Rhinolophus ferrumequinum: one gene and its partners. The protein of the gene in region 3 interacts with the protein of the main gene of each other region in a pairwise test. Links are inferred from orthologs where the notes say so. Each region holds a gene or a part of one and is shown on either strand. Other genes may lie near its edges.

Region 1 (7,184 bases), on a different chromosome or scaffold from region 3:
CCCCGATCATTCCCTCCCCCCTCCCTCCAGGACCTCGGTGGGGACATGCTGGCCGGGCGGCAGGCCAAATACCTCCCAAACCAGACATGCAGCCTTTCTCCCTGCATCAGCCTTCAGGGGAGAAGCCTGCCCTGGTTCTGCAAGTGAGAACACAGAGACCCGGGGGACCGTGGGCTATGGGGTGGAGCTAACAGGGGCACTGGCACCGAGCCAACAGAGGGCAGCTGGAATACAAATTGGTCTGGGGCTCTGGGTTTCTGCACAATGGCAGAAGCCCCGTGGGGCCCGTTCACCCGTGTCAATGGGGAGTTAATGGCAGGGTGAGAGGGACCCCATGGAAGTAACAGCAAGTTCGAGGGGAGCTCTTCGGAGGTGACAGCGACTACAAGTCCTCATCACTGTTACTGCAAGATGTTGGGGAGGGGAGAATCAGGTGGCCCGCTGAAACCAGGCAGATTTGAAAGGCAGTCTTCTACCCTCAGATCCTGCAGGGACAACGGCTGTCTGGGCCTGAGCCTCCCCTCCCGGGAACTGTGCGGTGTGTCAGGCCTCCGCTGGGGACGCAGACTCACTCAACAAGTGAGTCTGCCGCCTGGTAGGAGACACTCTGAGGAAGGAGCAGCAGCCACACCTCTTAGGGCCAAATGGCCCTAAGTGCTTTGCACACTCAAGCTGACTTGGTTTCCCCACGGGCCCCATGCAGTGAAGCTGTCCTACAGACGAAGAAATGTATCCACCCAAGGAGGCAGACCCAGGCAGGAAGAGAAAAGATGAGGGCAGAGAGAAGCTCCCCGGGATTGGCTAAGCGGAAACCATGCTTCTCCCTCAAAGAGGGCCTCTCCCCTCTGGCCCCGTGACACTCATGTGTGGCTCCATTAATTTTTCACCAGAGTAACGTGTGTGTCAAGACACTGACGGTCCCCTGAGGGACACCGCCCTCCCTCCCTCCCTCCTTCCTAGGCCTTGGCATCCCCTTAATGCCTGGCTCAGGATGAGCCAGACTGACTGCCGTGGGCTGCTGCGAAGGGTCTGGGGACTTGGAGGGACAGGAACCGGGGTGAACACATGGTGACAGCAGGAGACTGGCTGACATCTTTCTAACCATGCCGGGTACGCTCTTAGTGCCCAGCACGGGCCTCAGGACCAGTGATGGTGGATCACAAAACGCCTCCACATCCTTTGAGTCCCCAGACAACAGCCTATTGAGCTTGCCTGGAATGCTGGGTGGGTGGGAGATGAAACACACCCGGTACCGGCCTGCTCTACAAGGACCGTGCTCATCACTAAGACGGCAGGTGAGTGGGTCTGGGACAGTAACACAGGCCCGGCAAGGAGGCCTCTGAGCCCCCTGGCTGCGCTCACCTCTCATGTATTCGATGGTGCCATCCAGCACAAGGTTGAGGAGCGGGTCAAACCCTTTCAGGATTCCACTGGCTTGTGGGAATGACCAAAAAACGAAACAGAAAGGCGTAAGATCAAGAGTCATTCGGGAGGCAGGTACCAACTGCCACTAAACTGCATACATTAAAATAGCGAATTTTATGTTCTGTGAATTTTACCTCAATTAAAACAACAAATAGGCATCCTAGGTTATGGCTCCTTGACCAAGTGATGTATCTTGGCACCTGAGAGGGGGTGTGGTCTGCGTGCCCCGGACAGGCCACCCACCCTTCCACCCTGATGCCTCTCCCAACCATTCTCTCTGGCCTCAGACCTTCACACCCACCTGTGCTTCTACTTGTAACGCTCCACCTCCCACCCCTCCTCTTCCAGGCCTCCCTTTGCCCTGGTCTCACCTAGTGGAGGCAGGTACCCCACTATGTCAGCACTCTGCTTGCCCATTTTCCCTGAAAGGTGGGGACCAGACGCTGTATTGCCCTCTCTTCACTAGATTCCAGTTAAGCACCATGTTAACACATAAAGCTGCAAACTGTGACAGGTGCTACCAGAAGGTTATGACGAAGGGGATTAGCCCCGGCTGGAGGGTCACGAAAGGCTTCCCAGAGCAAGGGCCTCGAGCTGAGAGCAGGAAAACGACTCTGGCAGTTAACCAGGTAACAAGTTAACCTCGTAAGAGTACTCCAGGCAGAGAGAAAATAGTACCTTTACAGCCCGGTGGCCGACGAAAGCTCCACTTGTTACTCTGAGGTACAAAAGGTTTGTCCTTACCCTGGGACAATGGGGAGCCCCAGAAAGCTGAACAGCAAACAAGATTTGATTTGTTTTTAACAGGTTCCTCTAGTCCACACCGGGAGTCTGTCTCACTGTAGGGCTCTGTCGTCTCAACGGGGGCGAGTCTGCCCCCCAAGGGACACTGGGTGAAGCCAGGAATGCTGCTCAACACCCCACGGTGCCCAGGACCGACCCCACGACCTAGAACATTCGGACCCCAACGTTAACAGTGCGGAGCCTGAGGAACCCTGGTGTAGGGAGACCAGTGAGGAGCTGCAGCGACAGAACCGCACAGGAGGCAAAGTCTCAACCTCGGACGACCCACTGTGGGTTGGATTAAGTTTGGTCCCCTTTCCATGTCTCAGTTTTCCCAGCCGCAGAAGGGGTATACCACCTCCGAACTCCCGGCGTCGCTAGGAGACTTGCGCGAGTCATCTGGGCCAAGCGCCTAAGCTGGGCCCGGGCATCAGCTGTCACTATCGCCGCGTGTTACTTTTCGTTAACCGTTCGGAGGGTGCGGAGTGGGGGGGGCCTCACCTTCGCGGCCTCCCTGAAACTTCACCCGGATCGTTTTGTCGATGTACTTGGACAGATCTAAGATACTCTCCTTCTTCTTCTTCTCTTTGTCCTGCAGGAGAAGCAGAGCGTGTGAGGCGAACAGCGCCGCCAGCCCTGGCGCAGCCCGCCCCTTCGGCCCCGCAAGCACAGCCTCGCGCTCACCGCCATTCTGCTGTGTCGCGCCACTCTGCGCAGGCGCCGGCGTCGTGCCCTTTGACCCCGCCACTCACGCACGCGCAGAATGTGTACGGCGCTTGCGCGGCGCGGCGCACCGCGCTGGGGCGTTGCTGGGAAACATCTGGCGACGCCTGCGGCGGGGACCAGCAGACATGGCGGCGGCGGCACCCGTGGCTTGGCTCTCGGCGGCCATCCTCCTCTTCGCGGCCCAGGTGAGGGCTTCGCCGGCCCCGCTGGCCCCGCCAGATGCGGTGACCCGGCCCCTCGGTCCTCGGCCGCGCGCACGACCCCCGCTGGGCCCAGCCTGGGGGCAGCCTCTGGGACCCGAGCCCCCCGCGCGGACGGTCCGCGGGCCCGGAGCCCCGCCGTGACCTTGCGGGCCTGTCTCTTGCCCGGCTTCGTTCCCCGCCTCGGAAGCCCTTCCCAGCCGCTGCGTCACTCATTTCCATGCGGGTCTGAAGTTGGGGGCCCCTCTTCGTCCCCCGGGCCCTGCTGGTCTCGGCGTCCTAACCGCTGCGGAGATTCCCGTCTGGCTCCGTAGCCTTGACCTGGTGGCTGCGCCTCAGTTATCCCTTAAGCACGATGCCAGCGCCCACCCCGGGGGTTCTGGTAAGCTGTCCAGCGCGGCACCCAGTGCCTGGCACTGTCGGGGAGCGGCCAGGAGCCCAGCCCTGGAGGGGGGGTCGAATTTCCTTCTCACTTTTACTCCATGACCTTGGGCAAAGGAGTTCCCCCGCTTTGGTCGTCAGTTGCTCCTCCGCAAAAGGAGATAAGAGTACAGCGCGGACTCAGCGAGATAGTGCATGGGGTGATGCAGGCGCAACATGCTACTTTTTTGTCATTTAACGTTAAGGGTCTTTGGTGCTGGTGGGGGACTGACCATGAGATGGCTGATGTACATTGTCATAAGCTCATCTTTTATTTCCAAATCCTTCCTCTCCCTGGATTCAGCAGCTCAGGGAATGGTGCCCGTAACAGCTGTGGAAACACAGCCATTAACCTTGACCTGCCCACTCCAGCCCACCACCAGCTCTCCGCTGTAGCTCCCAGCGGGCGGCTAGCGTTCTCCCTGTGGCCGCTTTTGTCCGCCACATCCCAGTCCATTCTCAACACAACAGTAGTGATCTCTTTCAAAGTGTCTCAGGTCTTGTCCAGATGACAGCTTTCAGGTGGCGTCCTGGTGCATTTGGGAGGCCTCTGATCCCTCTGACCAGGAAGTGCCCCTCCCTTTCCAGCTGTCCTCTATTGGAGGCAAGCTGCTTTGTTTTGTTTTGTTTTTTCTCTGTTTCCCTGGAATGCCGGGGTCATCCTGGTGTCAGCTTAGCTGTTGTCTCCCCCCAAGCTGTCCGGGATGCCCCTGTACTTCCCCCGAGCCTGTTTAATCATCTTCCTCACTGGCCTGAGCAATCTGAGGGCCAGGAGTTGGAGCTCTCCACACGTTTTGAATGAGAGCAGAGAGAGGGGATGAAGAGGCACGGGAACACCTCAGAGCGAGTGGGAAGGCTTCTCAGAAGCAGTGGTGCCCCAGGGCTGTTCTGAGGTAGGAGTCGGAGTTTGCTAGGTGGTGCAGGCTGAGGGAGGGCACTGCCGGTGGTCGGAGCAGCGCGAGCTGGCGGAGGTGTGAGAGCGGATGACTTATTTGGGGACGGTGAGGGGTCCACTGTGGCTGGTGTGGAGGCTGGTCTGATGCCTAGGTCCTGAGATAGATGTCACTCTAAAGGAGGCCCTGGGAGTGCACTGGAAGGGCAGGCTGGGGTTCCCCCTCAGCTCGAGGGCCACGGGAGTAAATGATAAGGACAGAGGGTAAAGGGGCAGGCTGGGTATGTGGCCTCCCTGGGCTGGGCAGGGAGTGGTGGACGGCTCATGGTTCTGGGGCCTTTGCACTTTATCCCAGGCAGGCTGAGGCTTATCCTTAGCATGTAGTCTTGGGAGAGAGTGAGGAGCACAGTGGGGCCTGCTCTTCCTAGAACAGACCCCTGGATGTAAACACACCCTGACACCGGACGGTGCCCCTCGGGTGCTCTGGTTCTTCCTGGTACCTGCGAATAGACTCGCTCCCCACTGGGCCCTAAACTCACTCGCTACCATTTTGAGATCTGGGCGATGGCTTTCACCTTCCCCAATAGGCCCACATCCCCCAGTTGCTATGAGATGTGTAAACAAAGGCCTGAACAAGAGGCTTAGCAGCAGATCTTAACTAATGTCAGTGCCACCCTGCCCTCCTCCACTAACCCCACCACCACCTGGCCCAGGCCCCCTACTGCTCCACCAGAACTTCTGCTTCCCACCTGGGTCCTCGTTTCTCCACCGCCTCCCAGAACTCACCACGTCCTATGAGAAGGGAGACTGCCCCAGCCTGGGCTCTAGCCTCCCTCAGATCCCCAGAGGTGGATGCTGTCATACTCACCCTAAAGCACAGGTCCCCTGGAAGTTCCTGGACCTGCCCGGTGTTGTGACGTGTCGGAACGTGGCTGGTCCTGGTTCTCCAGGTGGGGATGGGCCGTGCTGGGACACGGGCACGTGCAGCATTGGGTCTTTTTGACGAACTTCTGGTTCCTTTAACACAGCAGGCAAGGAAACCACATTCAAAGCGAAACCATGCCCTCCCTAGCGTTGGACACAGCACAGGTTTAGTTGTGCGAGTCGTGGGGAGGAAAGTTTGTAGGTGTGCTTGTGTATTCCTAAATGTCCTTTTTATAAAGAACTAGTTTCTACCCATTCCCATTTTACACAAAGGACAGTTTTTGCCAACTACCCAGCTCTCATGGATCAGGGCTCAGCAAACATTTTCGGAAAGGCCCAGACTGAATATTTTCGGCTCTGCGGGCAACTGTCCAACTCTGCAATGGTAGCCGAGAGCAGCCGGAAGCCCTGCATACAGGCACAGGGCAGCCATGTTCCAATAAAACTTTATTTGCAAACACAGAAGGTGGGCCGGATGAGGCCTGAGGATTGAGGGACCGTACACTCCCCGCAGTGACCCAGAGTCAGGAGGTGGCTCTGATCATGGGGTGTCCCATCGGAAGGGGCATACACTGAGCACGGTACTTGGGGGCATTCTGGTGGGGAGAACCTGGAAGAGGGACCTCCTAATTCTGCCCCCCTATTAAGGGACCGAGGAGTCATGAGAAGTGTGTGGAGGTTCTGTGGGAGCAGAGGCAGGTGGGCGCAGGATACTGCCTTAGTGAAGTTCTCTGACACCGCCTCCGTCAGCTTCAGGCAGCCCCCGCCCCACCCTCCTCTCCTGTGAGTGCTCGTGGCAGTGGCCCTACACACCCAGCTTCTTTGGAGCTTGGTACCTGTGAGCACTGCTTTGGCAGTTGGCACCTCACTCAAGGTGACAAAAGGAAGTGCCCGAGATGACTTGGGCTAGCTGGAGCATTGGCAGTCGGGGACTGTGGGGCCGGGACTTGCACCGGCGCCTGGTGTCAGCCTCCGGGCTGTGAGGTCAGGGCGCCTTCACCACCACTAGGTAACCAGGCCAGGATGAGAAGCTCCCGGAGGGCTTGGCTGTCTGAGAGCCAGTCCGTACCCCAGGCTTGGTGTCAGGGCCCACGGCCCATCAAGGTGGACGCCCCCACCTTGGCAAAGCAGCATCCGTGCTATGGGTATGGGTCCTGAGGTACCGACTGGCATCCATCCCCATCATGTGCCCATTGTTGGCAGCAGCTGCTACCTGTTTGTCTCCGTGGCAGGCTCTCTGGCTCTGTCTGGAGGCATATGTAGCCCAAGGACAGCAAGGCTGCAAAAGGATGTGCCCCAGGAGCACGAAGCGTGCAGAGCGCGTGTCGGGCCAGGAGGGTGCAGGGCCGTGGTCACACCAGCTTTCCCTGGGGACACTTGTCCCTGAGCTTGCAACCCTCCCTCGTTTTCTCCCCCCTGAGATACGTACGATTGTGCCCCATGTGTCCTGTTGGAGGGAGGAAACCAGCCCGACCCCCATGGCTGTCCTTGTTTGGTCTGACCCCTCCCTGCCCCATTGCTCCAGGTGACCTGTGAGTACGGCATGGTGCGTGTGGTCTCTGAGACGGGGGGCCCCAAAGGCAAGGACTACTGCATCCTTTACAACCCACAGTGGGCACACCTGCCACACGACCTCGGCAAGGCGGTGAGTACTGCCGGCCCTCGGGCTCGGGCTTTCGTCTGTCTTGTGGCTGTCCCCCTTCCCTCCCCGGTGTCCAGAGAGGCCCTCTAGGAGACTCATCTGCAGAAAGCCAGCTGGGGGGGTAGGAGGACCTCAGCTGGGAGACCAAGGTAGGATTGGGCCACACTCAAGA
Region 2 (7,970 bases), on a different chromosome or scaffold from region 3:
AAGCAAATGTGATTTCACCCTTATTTATATCAGTAACTGAACACTTTAACTCTATGGACACAATGTAAATGCTGCAGGAACCACAGAATGACAATCCACGAGCACACTGTTCTCCTATTACACATTTTAGGATTAGTTTACTAGGGAAACAATAATAATATAACCAGAATTTTTCCAATGGTCGATGTTATCAATATAGGTACACTGGGATAATATTAAAGGAATTACTAAACCAAGTCGAAGTTTACTTACCTCTAGTTTTACTTATTTTTAAAATACAAAATAAGCTTTTATAACTAAATTGCTTTCAATTCACCATTATTACTCAAGTTTAAGGTATCTCTCCCTCTCTCTCTCTCTCTCTCTCTCTCTCTCTCTCTCTCTCTCTCACACACACACACACACACACACACACATACACAGACACACACGCCACACATGGTCTGAAATTTTTTTTAAGATTTCTCTGCGACAATTCACATTACCAAAATGGCATTATTGATTTCATTCAGAATTTAGGAAAATAGAATATATTTTAAAAAGATAAGAAAATTGTTAATTTTAGTTCATTAATGATGAATAGCTATAATCACAGAATGTTTTGAGCTGGATTAAAGGATTCTTCCTCGACTTGAAATTACTGAAGAAGTTTCTTTTAAATCCGAAGTGTGAAATATACCTTATTTGACTACACAAAGAATGTTCAAGACTCTATAAAAATTCCTCCATAATCATTTGCCCACATTTCAGTGCAAACTACAAAAAAAATTAAAACATTTATACAAAGGCATAGAAAACAAAAGCAAAAGAACTTAACCCAAAGATGACCATGAAAGTGAATACTGACTTTTTTAACTCTTCAAAACACATTGAAGAAAACTTAGTGATTTACAACATGGAAATGAGTAATAATCATTGATAAATTTAATATTAATAATGCACTAATTGGAGGACAAACCCAGTAACCAAGGAATCCCATTTCTCAATTCCTATTCTGCCACTGGCTTAGTTCGGTCTTACGCACATCTTAGGTTGATAAGAAAAACTTAACTGACATTCTAAGGTTGTGAGAATTGATTAACTGTTTATAAAGTACTTTAGGACCATGAAGGGGAGCCACTGTAACCATTAAATGTCATACGCTTAATACAAACTGTAGCTACCTGTTAGGCTTGCAAATCCAATCATCATGATTTTTTTGTGTCTTCTGAGCAACAAATCTTCAGTGAGTCAGTAAAATGCATGTATTTAATGAGCTAGTTTAGCAACCTCAGAGAAATAAATTTTCTTCCAAATCTTTGTTTTCTCACAAACCATGTCACCATCCAACCCAACTGTTTGCAAAGGGAAACACGACCCGGTTCACATTAAAGTTAAGTCCAGTAATTGATAAGCCAATACCAAATGACTGAAAACTATTAGGAATCACAGTGGAACTTTCTTTTGTTAACTTACCAGAAATGTGACTCCTGAAAGTAATCCCAGAAAACAGTCATTCTATCATGAGCTTTATTAAAGGGAAAGTCCCTACACTTACTTACAGAGCTCGAAAATGTTTTTAAAGTGTCGACACAAGACGAAATTCACTCAAAACATAATTTGTTAGGTAGTCCCAGCACCTGCTTGGTGTTGAGCGACTCGAGGCTGGCAAGGCTGCTCAGGAAAAGTGCTGATCCATCTCCAGCTGCCCCCTTCGTGAATGACAGTAACAATGCAAACACTGACAAAAGAGCTGGGAGGCCACCTCTAGCCTCTGCTTAGAAATACTTCCACCCTACCCCCAACATACGGAGCTGCAAATCCCAGAAAAGGCCCTCCTCTTCCACATCTCACACGCGGAGACCTTGTCTCTCGTCTGGCAACGTGGGAAAGTACTACCCTTCACTCTTCAAAGACAGCTGAGCACCTTAAAGAGCAGGAGGAAATGCTGCCGCTTTCTAAACTGCCAGAGGAAAGAAGAAGACTTCCTTCCAGCAGACGGCGAGCAGAATCGGGTGTGCACGGAGACACTCCGAGAACTCCCCGGGTCTCGGACCGCGGGCAAGGGGAGGAGAGCGCGTCCCCCCGTGGGCAAGAGGGCGGAGGGTCGCCCAGCTGCGGGTGGGGGAAGCTGGGCTCGGTCGCCGGGCAAACCGTCCTCCCGGGGGTGGCAGCGCTCGGCCGCCCGCATCCCGGCAGCCGGAGGAGGCGACAAGTAGGCTCGGGTCCAGGAGCACAGGGAGCACATTCCTTCCTCGAGCCAGGTCCCAGGGGACGGCGCAGGCGGCCCGGGGCGGCAACTCTCCCTCTCGCCCAACTCTAGGGTGAGCGTGAGGGCGGCCAGCCCGAGGCTGCCCGGCGGGATGCCGCCCGGGTGGGGGAGGCGGCGAGGCCGGCCTCCGGCCCGCTCCCTCCCCACGCGGTCCGCGACCGGCGGCCGTCCGCGCCCTCGTCCCTCCCGCCGCCGCGCGGGGCAGGGCCGCGGACCTCCGCGAGCCGGGCGTGGGGCCAGGCGGCGGCGGCTGCGGGCGGGCCGGCCGGCCTGGGGCCCTACCTGAGGCTGTGTACCAGCTCCCGGCGTGACTGGCTTCCCGGCAGACCACTCGGTTGGACATCTTGGTGCCTGTGCCGCCTATGGTGCACGAGGATGAATGAGGAGGCGGCGACGGCGGCGGCAGGAGCGGCTCCGCGAGGGGACGAGACACCGCGGGCCCAGCCCAGGAGGAGGCGGCAGCGGGGAGGGGATCGGCCCGGCCCAGGAGGAGGAGGAAGAAGAGGAGGTGGCGGCGGCCCAGGAGGAGGAGATGGCAGCCGGGGCGGTGGCGGCGGCAGCAACAATCACCACAAACTCCGGCGACCGCCGGAAGATGGGGCCCGCGGCGGCCTCGCCGAAGCCCGGAAAGCCCTGGCCCGGCCCCCGGAGTCGCCGCTGCTCCCCAGCCGGGGCTGGTTCAGCCGAACCGCCCCCACGGCCCCCTCCCCTCCCAGTTGGCCTCCCAGAGCCACCGCCGGTGACCCCACCCCGTGACTCCGCGCCCGCCCCCTCCCCCCACCCCCCGCGGGACTCCCCGCACCCACTCCAACCCGGGGCAGGGCCCTCCTGCCCGCCCGGCCGCCGGCCCGCCGGCCCCGCCCCGCCCCGCTCCTCCTCCGGCCGCGCGGCGAGGTTAACGGCGGAAACCGGACAGGCCAGACGGCATCTGGGGTCGGATGGCCCCGCGAGGAGGCAGTGGCAGCTGCGGCTCCGCGCACACAAAAGCCCAGGGCCGGGGCCTGAACCGGTGAAGGCAGACCGGGGGAACAGCCAACGGTTCCTTACTCGCCACTCTAACGGGTCCTGCCCACTGAGCATGCCCAGCAGCCGCTGCCAGGCCCTCCGAGGAATCTCAACGTGCTTGCTCCGCTCTCCGGGGTTTAGAGGCAGCAGAAGCTGGGAGGGGGAGGGCGAGGGGGGCAGGACGCAGCCGCAGGGCAAGCCCCCTCCCCCAGCCAACTTCCTTAAATGAAGCGCACCAGGGGCACGCAGATGCGGCTTTCCACCAGGAGTGCTTGTAGCCGTCACACACAGGAATCCTTAGTGCATTCGCACCCCCAAGGTTTCACTCCTAGGGACGCAAGTCTGGCCACGTTGGGAAGTTCATTTGTAGAAGCAGGCATAACGTAATGTGCCTATGGTCCATCCAGAAAATGCTAGTTTTGCTTTACAGGGCCATCCTTACTACCTAATCTTGGCTTTGACACTAATAACATTTATCGTTTCATGTTATGTTTATGTAGGTGCATTCTTAATTCCCTAACTAGATGAAAGTGATATACCTAGCCTCAGTTATTCTCATCTATAAAATGGGGATAACAATACTCAAGGAGTGTCCCTAGGATTGACTTAATAAATGTAGAGCCTGACATAGTAGGCATACATACAACATTGTTTCCAATACTCCATTATTTTAACAATCCCAGTGTTCCACAAAGAATGACTTTCAAATTATGGAAGAATCACAGCAAAGTAGGATATCTTGGACCTCCCAGGAAGTGTTATGAAGTAAACCATTCCAAAACTAGGAAGAGTTGCGTATCTTCAATGAAAGTTGCATATCAAACTAAAAGTTGCTTATCTTCAATGAAAGATTTGGGGTTAAAACCATTAAATGTTGTACCAGAATTTCACACTAAACAGATCCTTGGTAGAGTCCAAAGCACATAACTGGCTGCCTAGTACTCAAGTTTCCCTAGTGCCATAACAACATACATTTAAAAAAAGAGAAAAAGAAGTACTATCCTGTTCCTACACCTTTACAACTTTAAGGCCCAAGGATCTTGTGTGAAATTCCAGTCTTAAAGCTTGGTCAATCACTGGAACATTCCGACTTTCACACTTTTTCTATACTGTTATCAGGCTAACATACCTCCACTGAATCGTTTTTTTACTCAATGTTTAACCCTCTCACTTCATCACTAACCTGCCCAAATATTAAGATATGCAGAAGAAGGGGAAAAAAAGGACAGGCCAAGCAGTCATTTAGGGATTAACAGAAAAAAGAACTGGGGCTCTGATTCCATGGTACCATTCCTGGAGTACCAAACTTAGTGATAACTGATGAAATGGTAAACTTTTCATTGTATATTCAAAAAAAGGAAACTGTTGATATGGTTGATATGGTGTTGATAACAGTGATAGCTCTTGAAGTTAATTATTGTTGATTCTGTTTCCATGGCCAAAAAAAAAAAAAAAAAAAAAGGAGGGGAGAGAACAGTAGATACAATGAACTAAGCAAGTTTTGTATTTCAAGCAGGTCAAATTAGAAAATCAGATTTGAGTCCTGGCTCTCACTCAACAACTATGTGATCATGGGCATCTAGTAATATAATCTTTTCAAGCTGCAGTTTTCTCATCTATCAAATGAAAGCAGCAGTAATATCGAAGTCACAGGCTTGCTGTAAGAATCATTATGTAAGGTATGTGAAATGATTTATAAACTGTTCTTTGTAAATGTTTATCATTATCCTCTGCTCCTAGCAACAATCCTAGGTCTCATTCCAAACTAGTAATCTAATTTAAAATTAAGCTTACATCCTATTAAAATGCTCAATTGGAGATTTATTTATTACTGGTCAAACTCAGCAAAGACCACAATGCCAAGCAAAGTAAAAGGTTAGAGGATCATCTATTATCTCTAGAACGCTCTGTATATCCTATCATTCATTACTCCTTCTGTCCATCTTATTCTGGCTACTTTATTTAAGGATAGACTCTTGAAAGAAATAAGTTGTAACTATTCATTTACCCACCTCTCCTAAATTAAGGAAGATTCATATAATGCAAAAATACTCACTTAGTATCCCAGAGAAGCCTGTTTGGCAATACTGTACAATTCCCATGTTATTATTAACAATTTCCATTATATCCACTAGGGACTTGGGTTTGACACTCCATAAACAGAATAGTAAAGGGCAAGAAGGAAATCTTCATTAATAGAGTCTTTATGAAGCACAGACCTTCAATAAATAAGGCACCACTAGACCCAGAACCCAACATTAATAACCCAACATATCTTCTGAAATAGCATGTCAAATATTTACTACAGCATACATTACTTCTGTACTAGCAAATTATCACAACCAACCACAATGTCCATTAATATAAGAGTTGTTAAATTAGGGTGTATCCATACATGTAAACCCGTTAAAACGAATGAGGTGGTACTGTAATATACTGGTATGTAAAGAGTTAAATAAAAAATAAAGCAAGCAAGTAAATTGCAGAACAATGTGTAAAGTATGCTACCATTTGTGTAAAATGAGTACTTATATTTTCATACACTTGTATATATATGGAATACTTCTAGAAGGATACAAAACAAACTGGTAACAGTAACTGTTGGGGCGGGGAGAAGATTTAACCTTTTCAATGTACATCTTTGTGTATCTTTTGAATTTTGAGCCATATACATATACTACCTATATGAAACGTAATAATTTATTTACATCTTTAGGCTTGATCTTTGGAATCTACATGGCAACATTAAATGGACTATTTTTAGATTTACTTATTCACAGCTGCTGACAGCTTGAGGAGCCCAATTACTAAATACCATATATATATATACATATATATGTGTATATATATATGTATATATATATATATACACACACACACACATATATCAGAAAAATATTGTAGGATGATACCACAGGGTTTTGAACAAATCAAGGTTGAGAGAAAAGTTTAGTATAAAGGTGCTCTTTTCATTTCAATTAAAATTGGCACTCTAACAGAATCAGTCAGTTTTTCCCCTTTCTTCTTTAGAAGTTACTAACTTCGTAAGTAATGTTTATTAAACACTTACTATGTACCTGTCACTGGGCTAAGAACTTTACATATATAATGATTCTTGTAAGATGATTTATAAGAAAATTTGTTCCCAATTTTTTGGAATAAATTTTGTACATAAAGCTGTTTTCAAATTTATTATTTGTAGTATTTAGGATTCCCAGAAATGAAATAGAACTTAGTCAAAGATTTAGTTTTTTTTAAAGTCTGATAAAATTTTTAAAAACTCTTATTCATTACTGACTGCCCCTTTTATCTCTGATGACCCATTTTCCACTAATATATACTTTTCCTACTTTCCAATTTAAATCCAGAGATTAAACAAGTGGATTCTCAGTGATAGCCACTTACAGCTTTCACCTTTTGTCCCTCATTTCTACAATGTGTGACGATATGTATCAGGCTTCCAATTTGATAATGCCTTTGTGGAATCCAGTCCAGGAAAATACCTGGCTACAATATTTTAAGCTATCCAACCATTCAATCACGTTTCTAACGGGGTTATCAATCTTAAAATCCCATTATAACTTCTCCTAAATAAGATTTAAACAAAGGTTCAATATTCTTCCTCTAGTTTCATCAGAATTAGGTAGATGATCACCTTCTATCCAAACTGCTTTTCTTTTTTGCAATTCACAATCTGTTTCCTCCAAGAATCTACTGGTCCTCCCATTAACCCACCTAGCAACATAATCCACTCTATAGGATACGGTCCTTTACTCAATTTCTGTATTTTTTTACTAAACAGTATCTTCCCTAAAAATTAAGTGCTCAAAGAGTAGGAATTGTTTCTATAGTTGCCAGCTGCACATAAAACATCTCATCAAAATATACTAGTAGAAACTTTCTTAACTGATTTGTATTTAACCAACTTACTGGAACAATGATCTGTACTCCCATAGTAAAATACACTGAACAATGCCCACCACAAGCTGAACTTTTGAAGCTGGTAGACTCTACTTTTTAGGAAACTCTCACCCTATTGCACTCTCCTCCTAAGTTTGTGTGCATAACAAGGGTCATGTTCTCCAAGCTATTTATACCAGTTATACTAGGTATTGCCATTACATAATTTAATTAAACATTACATAAACCAATGAAATACAAACATACAATGCAAAAGGTGTTTGTACAAAAATCCGGTGGAATGCTTTGGAAAGACTCAATAAAAACAACTGTCAAATTAAAGGCAGATGACACAGGCTGGAAAAAATGAAAAAAAAAAAATGATTCTACAAATTACTTCTTAAATGTCTATAATCTTACTCTACTTTCAAATAAGTCTGAAACTGAAATTTGTAGACCATACTTTTGTAAGAGTGGTTTGTGGAAAAAAATGATACAGAATTCCAATCAAAGAACCCATACCCAGAGCAAAAAACTGAAAGTACTGTACTGCCATTTTAACATAGATTGATATTTTTAGGTTTTAAAAAAAAAACAGTTCAGTGTCATTTAATTCCCTACTGTGACTTACTTGAAATTTCATCTACCAGCCCAATAAGAGGGCTTTTACTATACACACATAAGGTCAAATTGATCCCTCCACCCCAAAGAAAAAATGTAAGCCCACCTGACAGCATTATAGCAGTGTAACATAGCATTAAGGGGAGGTAATACAGCATTAAGCTGGGTTTGATTCCCTGTCCCAAACTTACTT
Region 3 (7,963 bases):
ACAATCCCAGAGTTTATCCCCAAGGGCAGCACAGGCTCAGCAGAAGACTATAAGCCTATCAATGACAAAGTTTCTGGCACATAGTAGGTGCTTAATATATCTTTATAGTGTGAATGAATACGAATGCATCAAGATGGATTCTTTGCCTTTTCTCCCCCTCGGACTTCTTTTGTTTTCCAGAACCTAAACCTGATGGCTCAGGTGGGAGAGCTAAACGTGTGCTAGATGCTTTGCACTACTCATCTCCTTCCATCTTTACCACAGCTGGTACTGCATGTCTACAATCTCTTACCCCAGAGACAGGTGTGCTTCATATTTTGGAAAGGTAATACTGCATAATATATGTTATATTAGATAAAACCCCCAGTGGGCTAAGGGGCACCTTGCAATGAAACACGAAAACCCTTTTTGCAGTGAAATGTAAGAATATTCACACCAAGAATAGGCCAGGTCTTGCTGCTGAATGAGTTATGAAATGCTTCTGGTTTGCAGAGTGTGGGAGTTTGGAAATGGTGGACAAGAGACTGTGGATCTACGAAATCCTCACTTTTTGGATGTGTCAACTGAGATTCAGAGAGATAAAGTAATGTGCCTAAGGTCACTCCACTAAGGCAAAGAGTCCGATTACAACACAACTTCATCCAACTCCAAAGCCCATGCTCTTTCCATTGCGTAATTCTGGTCTACTCGTCTTGTCTGCTGCGCAGTACAAAAAGGAGTAAATGGCAGCCGTTTCTGGTGCGCAGCTGCCTAGAGCGATATGCAAGACCAAGTTTATAAAGAGTTTTCTGGCTGGAATAGCCATGCCTCCATCTACTGGACGTATGCAGGAATGACATCTGACCCATACAGAGAAATGAAGTGTATCCGGGTAATGGATTCTAAAGAAGGGTGGCTGAATTGTCTCCCCCTCTGTAACCGTGCAAATCATATTTCAGGAGCCAGAAAGTTGCTCCTAAATTATGCCTACATAATCTATCCTTCAAAATAATAACAACAAGAAGAAACCTCTTTCACCCAATTGCCAGAAATTATAGCGTGAAAGTACCAGTTTCACCATTCTCAGTACCTCCAGAACATCTCTTCTAAAACATGACACTCTCTGGTTTTAAAATTTTCAGTGGTTCCCATCAGTTAGAGAAGTGACTCCAAGGACCTCCTTGCAACCACACTTGCTGCTCCAGCCATTCCCCACATCATGCACTTTTGCCCTCACTGGACCCTTGTCGTACCCGTATTTTCTATAGTAACATCTGGAACTGCCGACTACATTTGTTGCTTTGCTTGCTTCCTCTGCTAGACTCCTAGCTCTTGTACCTTTTAGGTTACCTGGAATATAGAATGGGTTTTCATCATTTCTGAGAGATGAAAAATTAGAGTGAATTTATTTCATTAGCTTAAGACAATCAAAAGTATGTTCATTAATTAAAGGTACATATAGTAAGCATTGTCAGGCTCCTTAAATCTCAGTGGAATTACATTTTAAAAATCTGTTGACTATGAATTTTGGTAGAAGTCAGGATGGAGAGAGCTTGGGGATATTTGTTTCCCTAAAGAAGGAAGATTGTCAAAGAATCACTGTATACAGAATGATTTGTTCCTATAAGTAATGATTCTTTCCTTGAATCTCCCACATCATCTTTTCTTTCCTCAGACAGTGTCCTGAATTCCTCAAAGTAAAACCTCAAAGAGAATTGGCCAAAGAAGCAAGAAACTGTACATGGAATATGGCACTGTAGAAGTTGGAGTGGGTTACAAAATAAACAGATATTGCTCTTATTTTTAAGTTATTTGTATTGTTTTTTTCAATAGCTTTATTTAGATATAATTTACATACCATTTAGAGTATACAGTTCAGTGGTTTTTAGTATGTTTACAAAGTTGGGCGACCATCGCCACAATCAATTCTAGAACATATTCAACAGAAAGAAAACCCCAAAGAAAATACCCTTTAACTATCAATCCCCAAGCTTCCACTCCTGGCATACCACCAGCCTAGCTGCTGGCAGCCTAATTTCTGTCTCCATGGATTTGCCCATTCTAGACATTTCATATAAATGAAATCATAAAATATGCGGTGTTTTGTGACGGGCTTCTTTCACTTAGCATAATGCATTCAAGAATCATCCATGTTGTAGCATGTATCAATACTTCATTGCTTTATATGGCTGAGTAATATTCTATTGTTTGGCTATGTCACATTTTGTTTACCTTTTCATCAGTTGACAGATATTTCGGTTGTTTCCACAGGAGCTATTATGCATACAGCTACTATAAGCATTCGTGTAGTTTTTTTGTGTGGACATATGTTTTCAGTTCTCTTGGGTATATACCTTGGAATGGAATTGCTGCGTCAAATGATACAGGCATGTTTATTTCCTCTCCCTACTGGATTAAAAACATCCCCAGGGCAGTGTTTGAGGCATTCATCTTTTGTCCCGGTGCTATGTACATAGATGTTCAGTAAATGTTCATTGACTGAAATAAATGAATAGATGATATTTGCAATTCTAACATGATACGGGGTAGAGACTTGGGGGACTAGATGGGCAGCGTGAATAAAATTAATCTTTTTTAAAAACTCAAATCATGAACAGTTTTAACAGTGACAAGTAAAATTGCAAAATACACCTCTTAGAACGTCAGCTCCCATTTTGTATAATGAGAGCAACAACATCTTACAGAATTGTCCTATTAAAACTGTTTTCGGGGCGACCAGTTAGCTCAGTTGGTTAGAGCGCAATGCTCCTCACACCAGGGCTGCCAGTTTGATCCCCACGTGGGCCAGTGTGAGCTGCACCCTCCACAACTAGATTGACACAACGACTTGACTTGGAGCTGATGGGTCCTGGAAAAACACACCTAAAATAAATAAAAGTTTTTTAAAAACTGTTTTCATGTGAGGAGGCCTCAAACAGACCTGGCACACACAGTCAGTACTCAATCAATGCTCTGTAGGCAATTAAATTCAGAGGCCCCTCATCCACAAACCAGTTCAAGCTTTGGTCTTCTGTGAAATATTGTCTACCTTTGACCTTGAAAAGACTGGGTGTTCATTTCACCTTCAGCTCTGTCGTTTGCTGCACAGTGTGAGATCATTATGCTTGTGTCTACATTCGTGATATCAAAGTAGCTACCGTGTTTCCCTGAAAATAAGACCTAGCCAGACAATGAGCTCTAATGGATCTTTTGGAGCAAAAATGAATATAAGACCCAGTCTTATGTAAGACCCGGTATTATATTATATTATACCCAGATTTATAGTAAAATAAGACTGGGTCTTATATTCATTTTTGCTCCAAAAGATGCATTAGAGCTGATGGTCCGGCTAGGTCTTATTTTTGGGGAAACACAGTAGTTTAACGAGTAAAAAGAGGTGACTAATCCAGTGAATCTTGCTCTCAAGGTAAGAATTAGAAGTGCCGCCTCACCAGTTCTGCCTGGCAACATCTCCACATCCCGGTGGTGAGCTGTGCTTGCCGGAGCTGCAAGCGCTACAAGTCTGTGATTTTTGACCTCAATTGAGGGCACAATCAATTTTTTAAAAACATGTGTTGTCTATTGTTTACATATCAAATAGACTCAATCTGTCTTCCTCTTTTTAGAGTGTGACTCTTGATTATTTGGGGACAAAAACCAAGTGAGGAAGTTCTATGTTTATTTTATTATTATGTTTAAATATGTTTTAAAAATAGGCATCCAGTTAAATTCTTTTAATGATGGGTTTAAATTTTGTTTATTGGAATTATTTCCACACACACTAAAATGAGTTTGAAATGTTACAATCTCTAAATTTCAGAATATAAATGCATTTCAATTACTTTTAAGTTCAGGGACTCAAGCTAGAATGAAAAAACATCACTTAGGTCAGTCCTGCTTCACTGATTAGATAAAAATAATATGTAATCAGTACATCAATTCAACAATCTAAAAATTACTAGCCTCAGTCTATTATGTATACAGTGTAATTTTTGTAAATGAAGGATACTTCTAAAACATTTGAAACTTTCTAATCTGACTAATGGGCAAAAAATTCTTTTTCTTATAATCTTGTTTACACAATTTATTTATCACCGACCATCTTTTAATTCATAGAACAGAGGAGATATTTTCATTTCCTGTTTGTGAACAAATCTCTAATTAGCACTGTGAGAACTACCAGGTTTTATTGCAGGGGTCAACAAATACCTTAAAGGTTCCCAATTTCTGATGTCATTTGACAATTTACAGATATGCCACCCTTCAGGCGATAACCAACGAATGAATCTTAGGATGGCTTCTCATCCTCATGTATCCCCACCCCAGTTCCTCCCAGAATTATAATCAGGAGTCTTCCAGCCCCATTCCTGGGGGAGCTGAGGAGGCAGAGTTTGTACTCTGGAACTGCACCCCATTTGGGAAAGGTAGCCTATTCCTGTATTAGCATCATAGAAAGACCTAGAACTAAGAGAGGGCCTTGAAGACAATCCTTACCCCTCCTGCCACACATCACAGACTGCACTGCGGCCCTTATGAGCACATGCAGAAGGCTGACCTGGTCAGAAACCTACCAGACCATAGTTTAAGGGTATTTTCACTACAGATATTAAAAGTTATTATTGTTATTTTTCAATCAGAAGGGGAGGAAATAGCCAGAAGGATGTGGGTGTGTATATTTCTTGGAATCCAGAGGTTGGGGGGGGGGGGTGGAGAAGGGGGAAGGGAATCCATGAAAAAAAATGTCCCCAGTACAAAAGTTGGCAAAACAAGTTGCTCTTTAAAAAAAAAAAAAAAAAAAAAAGCTGAACTGTGTAACAGGAGAAATATTTTCTCTCACAAGGAGAGAGTGTTCCTGAGCCAAGTTTAGACAGAGGAAAAATTTTCCAGCATGTCAGGAACGAAGCTGACGTTCCATTAAGAAAAAAAAAAGTGCTGGAGGAAATAGTAAGGGGGAACAGGCACCAGAATTCAGACGGAGCTTTAAATTCCAGACGGGCCGCAGTTGTGAGCACTCGAGAAGGTCCCCCTTTGAAAGCAGACTCTAGTTGATTTCTCTCTTGAGGTCCCAGCCCCAGTGGACATTTCCTGTTCTGTCTCTGGAAATTCAAGCCCAAAATTACAAAACATCCTTTCCCTGTGACCAAGTGCTCGGTTCGGAGACCATCCCCTCCCCACGTCAATGATCTCAGTCCTGCCCTCTGCTTCCTTCCGCGGAACCCCTCCCTGACCAGTGGAGCTCGGCTTCCCAAGGAGAGATGATGGATTTGCTATAGCAGGTGGTGCAAAAGCCAGAGGGAAACTACCTTGGAACCACCGCCGAAGAGGTAGGAACCAGGGTACTGGGCGTTCTTGCTATCGTTTGACGTTTATTGAGCAAAATGAGTTGCTTGTCCTTTAAACCTTGGGCTGAGGGCATTTTCGCTGATGGGTGTGTGTCGTGGGTGGGTGGACGCAGAGGCTAAAGTCAGGCATTTCTTTTCCCACTCTCTTTCCAAATTTAACTTGAATTCCTGGGTCCTTGGAAGCACACGTTTTGTCTGAGTTCTGGTGTGGAAAGAGCTATGGCAGAATTCTGGGAATTCCCTAATTTTCTTTGTTTCTTTTTCTTTTCTTTTTTTTTTTTGTGGACTCCCTGGAATGTCAAGGAGCATTCGTAAATACAATACCTTCGGCTTTGAATAGATTCAGAGAGAAATGACTGAAGTGGAAGGGCTAGAAAAGGCATTTTGCCACCATGAACTGGGAGCCCGCTGTTCCCCAGGGCCTGAGGATCTGTCCTTCCCTCTCTCCTGCCCACCGTCATGTATGGGAGCTGTCCCTCCAGGCATGGAGATGTGGCACCTTGAGCCACATCTGTACATTTATGGGCTCCACTGTGTGAGGCTTAGCTGCCTGTGGCAGAGATACCTGGTGTACCCAGAAAGCTGCATGTGGCCCTTGGCTTCCTGAGGGACGTGCTCTCAGCTGTCCTTGCTGGAAGGCTAGCTTTGGCAACACATGTGCTGACATTGGACTGACTCAGAGAACTCAGCATGGCTTCTGCACAAGGAGTACTTGAAAATTTATGAAGCAGTCATAAATGAAGCATTTCAAATGCCCTTTCTCTGCACTCCTATGGCTTTGACTTCTCTGAACCACACATTTTGCTCCTTAGTCACATGCTGCTGTGCACCATTCTCTAACAGGCTAAATACGAGTGGAAGAATGAATTGAACAAAACTAGTCATAACCTATTAGTTGGTGATCCCAAGACAGCCACTAACTTTTGTTGAGCACTTGCTGTATGCCAACCACCGTTCCAAGGGTGGTGGGAATCATCATCATCATCACCCCAATTTTACAGATGAGGAGATTGAGGCTGGAGACACAGAACGTAGTAAGTGGCCGAGGAGGGATCTGAACTGAGGTAGCCTCAGTCTGGAGTCCATGCTGCCATGCTCCGATACCAGGAAGACTGAGGTTTGAATCTTGGTTCCAGCATTCTAGCTGGATGACTTTTGACAATGTAAATGTCCTCAGTTTCCTTATCTGTGAAATGAGATAGTAATAACCCAACCTCACAGAGGTGTTGTGAAAGGTAAATTAATTTTAAAAGATTATTTTACTGAAGCAAGTGAACAATGTAAGCGCGTTCTTCCCATTCCTGAGAGTGTGCACTATGAACGTGGAGGGATCCCTTGTAACTAAAAAGTCTCCAGGTTCAGTAGGAAGCAGCAACAATGTCTTGTTAGGTTTGTACCTTCCACCAGGGACATTGGAGCTCACTTGCCAGCTAGTGCAACACTAGCTCACTAGACTCTAAGCTCCCTAATGCAGGGATGGTATCTTATATACATTTGTTTTTCTTAGAAAAATGTTTAAGTTGTGGTCTAAGGACATCGTTGCCCTTCGGAAAGGGCGCAGGGTCCCCTTTGGGGAAGAGTTCAACCAGGAGCCTGTGGGTGCTCCAGGAGCTTCCTCTCCCCACTTCCAACAAAGCATCTTAACCTGACATATGTTGGGGTGTCAGTTGAAAGAACTGCTCACCTGGAACAAGGAATGTTTTGTGTAGGCTGAAAATGACTGCTTATGGAACGGAGTTGATTTATAGATGGATTTCTAGCTTGCCCCTGTCTAGGCTCTTACTTTGCCCTCCCCATCCGCCTCCTACTTAATGATCATCTCCTGCCCTGGGGAGCCCACTTGGAGGCGTGTGCCAGCCAGGCTCAGGAGGTGAGCTCTTCCATCTCCGGTAGCCCATCCTCACATGCAGGGGTAGACAAGGGGCAGAACCCCAGAGAGCTTAGATTACAACCTGGCCTCTCTCTGAGTCTTTTCCGAATGTGCCCTTCTCACTTCTGCTCACAGTTACGGACTGCGTGCTCAATAATCGTGATAGCGATTATTGATCTTCTTTAATGACAACAGCTTACTTATTGAGCCAGGCATTGTGCTGAGCACATTACACAGATTAGCTTATGTACTCCTCACAAAAGTCCCGTAAAGCCCCCTTCGGCATGATCCCCACTTTGCTAATGAAGAACCTAAAGGTAGAGACATTAAGTGACTCAAGGACACCCAGTCAGTTAGTGGTGAAAGTGGGATTGGGGCTCCATCCCCTGAGTTCGAGCACACTGCCTTGAGTATTTTTGCAGCTCTTTTTGACAGAGGTAAGGGGGCTATTGTGTGAGTTGAGTTATTTTATATTTTTGGAAAAGGATGTGCTCGAGAATAGGCTGGGAAGAACAGAGTGAAAAGGCCAGGACAGTATGTTCCATGGAAGGAAGGGTGCCTTTGTGAAAAAGTGGAGTCAGCATTCTTGTCCAAACTGTATCCCTGATAAACTTGACCTCTTCTGGAGAGGTTGTAGAGTTTAGGGAAAAGAGCCAGGTCTGTAGCCAGACTCCCTGGGTTCAAATCCCAGCTCTGCCACACATATCAGCTAGATCATCTTGGGAAAATTATCAAAATAAGGATATCCTATGTAGAGGGATGACAATATAAT
Region 4 (7,263 bases), on a different chromosome or scaffold from region 3:
GTCTTACTGCCAAGTACATACTCTGATTGAGCTATGCTGGCCTTCCTGTTTCTCAAACCTGCCAGGTACACTCCTCACTTAGAATCATTACATAGATATTTCCTCCGATTGGCACTTTCTTCCTCTAGATATACTCAGGGCTAACAGCTTTGCCTTCAAGTCTTCGCTCAAATGTAATCTCAACGAAAACTACTCTGACTACCCTTTATAAAATTATAGTCTTTCCAACCCCACTTCCCAATTCCTTTTACCCTGTATTCTTTTTTCTTTTCCTATTGCACATATTGTGTAATAACATAGTATATATTTATATGTTGATTGTCTATGTGTCCTCATTGTAATGTGAGCTCCAGGAGAGGAGGGATTTTTTTGTGTTATCTATTTTGTTCATTGATTATCCCAAGTACCAAGAACAATCCCTGCACATACTAGGTGCTCAATAAATATTTGCTGAATGAATGAGTGAATAAATTAATGGAATCAGACATCTATTGCCTACCTTCTAGAAGGGCTGCACCTAAACCATCTAAAACAAAAAAGGGATTTTGACATCTTGTTCTAAAACTCTCTGGAACCCACACTCCATACGAGCTTTATTGAGCAAATTTCAGGTTACCATCACCCTCTCCTTAAATGTAATCTTCCGTTTATTTCTGATAATATTTAAATAAAATAAACATGCCAATGATCAATGACTGAAGAAGACTATTTCTATATATTCATAGCCCACTTCTCACAGGTTACTGTGACCTTTTTGCTCTGATTGGCTCTTCTCTCCTTCCCCTACCTATGAATCTGTCGTCATCTACCACCACAATTTTATTTTTTCACCCTACAGAGGTGACTCACAAATCTATATCACTTGAGTCCTATTCTCTGTTCCCAGCTCTCATTCTGTTATTTCCTAGGCCTACTTAAATGATTCCATTTGAATGTCTCATTGGTACCTAAAAAGTAAACAGGTCTAAAATTAAACTTGCCTTCCCTTTGAGACTGGCTTCTCCTGACTTTCTACTTCCATCTGGGCAATCACCACCTACCAGTCCCTAGGCTCAAATCTTGGAATACTCTTCGACTCATTTCCCTAAATGGGCCCCACCCTCACTTTTGCACTTAATCTGGTTGGTTGCCAAATCCATCACTCTTTCTTGAATCTGTTCTCATCATTTCCAGGGCTATTACCTCATACCAGACTAAGTAGGCTCCGAATCTAATCCATTTTACACAATCAAGCTAATTACTTTTGCCAACGTGCAATTTTGATTTTGTCACTCCCTTGCTCAGAAACCGTCAATAGCTCCCCATTTCCTACTTAAATAAAGTATGAATTCCTTACCCTAGTATTCAAGACCCTGTAAGAATTGTTCCTAACTTTCTCTTTTAATCTTGTATCCTACTACTTCCCGAAATGAACCCTGTTCTAAAATCAAAGCCACATGTTCAATTCCCTATATACAATGCACTTTCTTGTTTCTTTCTTTGCCCCGGCTCCTACTTTTCCTGCTACTGGACGTTCTCCCTTCTCCTTCTACTATAAATAAATAAATAAATAAACAAACAAACAATGGTAAAAATTTCATTTCCCTCCCTACCAAGTCACCCTATTAAATAGTTTCTTGAAATTCCAGAAATGTTTTAACCATTTTCAGGCATGCACACACATACACATACAGTGGTACCTCGGTTTTCGAAAGTCTCTGTTGACGAACATTTCGGTTTACGAACGCTGTAAATTTTATGGATCTATGGTATCATTAGATAGTAAAATTCATGCTAAATTTGCAGTTTTAGGGGTTGATTTTAAAGGTCTGGAACGGATTAATCTATTTTGCATTACTTTCTATGGGGAAACTGTGCCTCAGTTTTCTAATGTTTCTGAACTAGAATGGTCTTTCAGAATGGATTTTATTCGAAAAACCGAGGTACCACTGTACATATATGATAAAGTCATTCTATATGTGCTTTTCTGCAACTTACCTTTTTCCCCCCTTCTTTCACCTCCCCTGACCTCCCCAACTCCAGTTCAAGCTGTAGGTTCTCAGTCTAGTTGTGTAGGACACAACTCATGGCCCATGCTGGTATTATGAGCCTTGCACTGCAATTGGTCGCTCACCAGTCATTGGTCGGCCACACACAGCAGCTCACAGTAGTGCTCACTGGCTGCTGGCCACTCATGATGGCTGCTGACCCGACACTGGCCACCAGCCGCTCCTGGCAGCACACAGCAGCCCCTGGCATGGGCACCCAGCTCCAGGGAGAGCTGTTGTTCACAATCTTAGCTGTAGAGGGCGCAGCTCACTGGTGCAGCTCACTGACCCATGTGGGAATCGAACCAGCGACCTCAGCGTTAGGAGCCCGCGCTCCAACCACCTGAGCCACCGAGCCTGCCTCCTTTTTTCAATTAAACAAAATGTGTGTATTTTCCTACACCAGCACAGGTTAACCACATTCTTTTTAACAGTTGAATATACAATAATTTATAAAACAAGTTCCCTATGAATGGACGTGTAATTTCCAAGGTTTTCTTTTTTTCCTCCCCTATCTTAAGCAATGAATATCTTTGGACGTTTTTTTTTTTTCATACTTGCATAGAGCTATAGGACAAATTCCTAAACAGTGGCATTAGTGGGCCAAAGGTTATGTACATTTTACATTTTAATAACTGCACCAGTTTGCACCAAGTATACTCTCCGTCTGGGGAGACTTTCTCCTTAGTCCTTTAGTTCTTCTGGCTGGTGGAATAATTCAGATGGCATACAGCAGATTAACAGGAGAAAATCAGATTTTAATACATGCTCACAGGGAAGTCACATAAGGATGATAATTCCAAAGACAGTGAGGCAAAATGAGGTATATATGTCATTTTGGACTAAGGAGGTGGAGGTAGGCAATTCACAGGTAGGGAGAAAGAGCAAACATTTGGTAAATAAATTCTGGCAGGGCCACCCAGAAACAATGGGACAAAGGGGAATCTAGTGGAACATATTTTTCTTGGATCCTCTCCGTCTGCCATACTTCATTCATATGTGCTAAGGTGAATATGCTAAGGTTCCCTTCCTGAAGCATGTTTTTCCATCCGAATCTCTTCGGCAGGTAGGGTGGGGGTGTGAGGGGGGGAGGTAAAAAACTCTCCCCGGATTTTTGGGGCTTTAATTGTTTTCAGCTCGAAATAATCTGCATGCTAGGGTAGCACATTCTGGGGAGACTGGCTCTGGAGCCTCACAATATTCTTACCAACAGTGAGTTTGAGTGTCTGTTTCTCAAAATCTTGGCCAACCAACGGTTGTTAAACTTCTTCATCTTTGCCAAATTGATAGATTAAAAAAATTATTGTTTTATTACTTTTATCCATTCCCTTTCTATTTTTTAACCTGTTAGGTAATTACATGTTCTTTAAATCCCAGATTAAAAGTCCATCCCCTTCACAGATCCCTCCTCATCAAATTTCTCCCATTACTAAGTATCTACAGCTTTTCTGTTATATAGTCTTAACTGCTTTGAATTTTAGTGACTACTCTGTTTTGTTCCTCTGACCAGTGTCCTTTGCAAATTTCTTGGAAATGAGGACCTGATCTTATTCCTAGAAACACTGAATGTAGAGCTGAATAAGAATTTTAGAGGTCATATTAACCAAGCCTCTCATTTTATAAATAAGAGGAGTATTAAGCTTTTGCAGAATGTGTTACTGTTCAAAAGGCCTCTCTTAGACATTCATTTAGTTATATTAAAGCCTCACTAAGCTTTTAAGGAAAACATCATTATCCTGTTTTACAGATGAGGAAACTAAATTCCAGATGAGGAAATTAAGCTCCAGATGATTTACTGAGAAAATGGTTTACACAGAGCAGGTCCAAGACCAAACCCAGCATCCTGCTTCATTTACTGCTCCTTCCATTATACCCCAGCTGCTTCTCTTGTTTCCCTCATGCACTTAGCTGCACAAATATCTGCTGAATGAAATGACTTTTTAAAAAATTGCCAGGTGTTGACAGCCGCTTAAATATCTATAATTTAAAAAAGCAAGCATGCTGACGGCTGGGGATGCACAACTAATTCTCCACACACCTTTAGCCCTTCTTTGCCGGGTGGTCGGCAGCTTTCGCTCCAGCGAACCTCTTCCCCACCAGACAGGCAGCGCAGGTCCCCAAGGAAACAAGATCGCGCGCGGCTCCTTTAAGGCTGCGGGCGGCGCGTGCCCACTGTCCCTTCAAATGAACCAATAACAGGGCGATGGGCGGTCCGTCGAGGACCAATAAACAACGAGGACACTGCGGGGTGCGCGGCGGCCCAAGCGGTTTCAAACGGCTTAGAGCAGGCCCCTTGGTTCTGACCCGGCGGAGGTGAGTGGGCAGTGGCCCCTACCCACCCGCGCAGGCCCCTGGATCCCGGCGTCACGCGCGCCGAGGGTCCCTGAATCCCGGGCGGGGGGCTCCACGGACGCGCGCCTCCCTCTCCCCACGAACCCGGCGGGTCTGAGGCGGCAAAGCGGGGCGGAGGCCGGGGGACCGGCAACTGGAAGGGCGGGGGGCGTGGGCACTCGTGTGCGGCCGAGGCCGGGGCTTGGCTCCGGATGACCCGAGCGCGCCGCGGCGAGGTGCGGCCGGCAGCGTCCTAGGGATGCGGGAGGCGCAGGGCCGCGCCTGGCGGCTGAGGGTGTTCCGGGACTGGGGCGGGGACCCTGTGAAACGGCCCTGCTACAGTGTCCATCGCGTAATTGTTAAATGAATGAATGAGTGAATAAGAGCCTATGAGGGCCGTGGTGGTTGCGCAGGGCCTGGTCGCCTCAGAGCGTGACAAGGACAGCGGTACCGGGCCCTGCCTGCGCACCTGGTCCCCTCCGACTTGCTGCGATTTTAACAATTCCGATCATACTGCTCCGCCCTTACGCCTGCTTCCCCTCTCCAAAGGTGTCAGTAGAGTTGAGGTATCTTTCCAGCTCTGAAGGTTTAAGGGACGAATACAATCACCAGCAGTTCACGTTGAGCAGGCCTTGGTACTTGAACGAGATTCTTACTTTTTCGCTCTTACTCTTTGGCTGTTGAGAGAGCTACCCTGCAATCGTGGTAATTGTCAGGCAGGATTTAAATGCATCCCGTTTTGTTTCTGGGATAGAAGATGATGAAAGGGGTGTTGCCAGAGTGGCTAATGTGTGTTAGAAAACATTCGCGTTGTGAATCTTAACTGAGTTTTTTATTTAGCATCAATAGAGGATGAAGTGAATTTTGCAGAACTTGCCCCAAATTTATGCATGGCTCTAATTTAATTCTCGTGGGAACCAAGGCATCAAATCTTGGCCCAGAAATGCTGCCTGTCTTATTTTATACATAATTATAGTAATTGAAAACTCATTTTTAGAGAGGTGAACCCCTCCTATCTCCATTTTAATCACCCTGAAAAGTCCTTCTTTGACCTAAAGAGCCAATAAATTAAGGTACCAATCTTTTGAAAACTTTAAGAAGTCTAAAAGATTTGGACTTTTCTTAAGTGACTGGACAAACTTTAATGTTTTTACAAAATTTAATGATATAGAGAAGGGTGAAATCAATTAATTTTGTCAGTAAAAATTAAACCTAGTTGGTAAACTCATGAGAAAAAATTAATATAAGTTTTTAAAGTCTGTTCATTCAGGCAATGGCAGGCAAAGGTATTCCATAACAATTAACATACCTTATACTTTATTACTTTTAAAGTTTTGATCATCAGCTTTGAATTACGAACAGTGGTATAGCCTTCTACAGCTGACAGCTCAGTTTTAGCAGCAGAGTTTTAATTGCAATAAATTTGAGTACCTTACTATTATAAACACTGTTCTAGGTTTTGGTGAGGCAATTAAAAATAATAAACATCTTTAACAATGCCTTAGGATATTGTTAAAAATCTTGATGGGGAATGAAAACTTTCTTTATATTGGAGTAAAGTAAGGTTCTCTTAGGTTACTTTGACTTAATGGAATCTCATTCAACAAATATTGAAATTGATGCCTACTGTGTGTTAAAGATTGTTCTAGAGTCTGGGAATAAATAGACTAATGAACCAGAAAAAGACAAAGCTTCTGACCTAAGGGAGTTTGACAATTTTATCTCTCAAACAATTTGCTTTAGCAAGTTGTAGTTTCCATAACCCCTCTGGCCCAGCTCTGATTCTTGAACAATATAAATGCTCAACTACTTCTAGCAGTGACTAACATTTATTGAATACTCACTGGGTACCACGTTTTATCATTTTTAATCCTCATAACTTTTTACAGATGAGGAAACTGAGTCTTAGAAATGTTTTGCAACTTCTTCAAGATCATTCGCGTACAACAGATAGAACCTGAATTTGAACCCAAGTTAGTCTATGTCCAGGGCCTTTGCTTTTAACCTGTGGTTGTATTATATGAAGTAATAGGATCTGTTAGGGATACTTCTATCAGAGACATGATGAAATAGGGATCATAGGCGTGGTAGTTTTTAGAGGCAAGATGAAGCAGTTCAAAATACAATATTTACCATATGGGAGATGGATAGCTGTGACAGTGGGGAGGGTACAGGGGAGCATAAAATTAAGATCTTGATCTAATTATCATTAATGGATTCCTGGTGGTCAGTGTTGGAGAGATTTGAGATTCTTTTTTTGTTTGTTTTTCTATAATTCAACCTTTCTTTTTTCTTTTTTTTTTTTAAATTAAAATTTATTGGGGTGACAATTGTTAGTAAGAGATTTGAGATTCTTAAATGATTCTCATATTCTTACCTCTAGATTTCAGAATATGTTACTTAGTTCATTCCAATCAGGGCAGTTGTCCTATCTACTTGATATATCTCAAACGCATTAAGCTTATTCTTTTTGGCCTTTGAGTTTGCTGTTCTCTTCTGGAACTTCCCACCCTGCTCTATCCCTGCCTCGAGCCTGTCTTTGTATATAGGCTCCACTCAGGTCTCAACTCAAATATCATCTCCTTAAAGAGGGATCTGCTAAGCTTTCAATTAGAGTAGCCCTCTTGATCACTTTTACCTTACTTTTCATTTTTATTTACTTCATAGCATTTATTGCTCTCTGATAGGTCATTTATTGTTTGCTTGTATTTTGCCTGATTTCCTCACAGAAATGAAAGCAGAGCACAGATTTTCCCCCCCTATCTGTGAATTGTTAACCCATACCCCTATGGGAAACAACTTTATCAACTAGAGTACAGTGCTTTTGTGCAATTCCTTTTGCCTTTAGTCTTACAAGACCCCATTCATTTCTGAAATTACCTAGGTCAGCACTTCCCCCCTCCCC

The links.
Region 1: the proteins of TACC1 (region 3) and LSM7 interact in binary tests that used the Homo sapiens proteins (3 or more experiments, as listed by UniProt). The link is inferred for Rhinolophus ferrumequinum from reciprocal best matches to the Homo sapiens genes TACC1 and LSM7.
Region 2: the proteins of TACC1 (region 3) and MEMO1 interact in binary tests that used the Homo sapiens proteins (3 or more experiments, as listed by UniProt). The two-hybrid records come from large-scale screens. The link is inferred for Rhinolophus ferrumequinum from reciprocal best matches to the Homo sapiens genes TACC1 and MEMO1.
Region 4: the proteins of TACC1 (region 3) and CKAP5 interact in binary tests that used the Homo sapiens proteins (3 or more experiments, as listed by UniProt). The link is inferred for Rhinolophus ferrumequinum from reciprocal best matches to the Homo sapiens genes TACC1 and CKAP5.

The regions. Positions count from the first base shown.
Region 1 is NC_046301.1:60,955,936-60,963,119, reverse strand, and holds the start of LSM7 (U6 snRNA-associated Sm-like protein LSm7), read right to left. Parts: upstream 3,007-7,184; 5' UTR 2,899-3,006; coding exon 2,893-2,898; intron 2,801-2,892; coding exon 2,710-2,800; intron 1,435-2,709; coding exon 1,363-1,434; intron 1-1,362. Other genes in the region: SPPL2B (signal peptide peptidase-like 2B), read left to right, coding at 3,060-3,119, 6,896-7,015. UniProt on the Homo sapiens protein: Plays a role in pre-mRNA splicing as component of the U4/U6-U5 tri-snRNP complex that is involved in spliceosome assembly, and as component of the precatalytic spliceosome (spliceosome B complex).
Region 2 is NC_046296.1:49,726,372-49,734,341, reverse strand, and holds the start of MEMO1 (protein MEMO1), read right to left. Parts: upstream 3,013-7,970; 5' UTR 2,595-3,012; coding exon 2,534-2,594; intron 1-2,533. UniProt on the Homo sapiens protein: May control cell migration by relaying extracellular chemotactic signals to the microtubule cytoskeleton. Mediator of ERBB2 signaling.
Region 3 is NC_046287.1:61,008,594-61,016,556, reverse strand, and holds the start of TACC1 (transforming acidic coiled-coil-containing protein 1), read left to right. Parts: upstream 1-4,948; 5' UTR 4,949-5,303; intron 5,304-7,963. UniProt on the Homo sapiens protein: Involved in transcription regulation induced by nuclear receptors, including in T3 thyroid hormone and all-trans retinoic acid pathways. Might promote the nuclear localization of the receptors.
Region 4 is NC_046294.1:14,201,216-14,208,478, forward strand, and holds the start of CKAP5 (cytoskeleton-associated protein 5), read left to right. Parts: upstream 1-4,253; 5' UTR 4,254-4,340; intron 4,341-7,263. UniProt on the Homo sapiens protein: Binds to the plus end of microtubules and regulates microtubule dynamics and microtubule organization. Acts as a processive microtubule polymerase. Promotes cytoplasmic microtubule nucleation and elongation. Plays a major role in organizing spindle poles.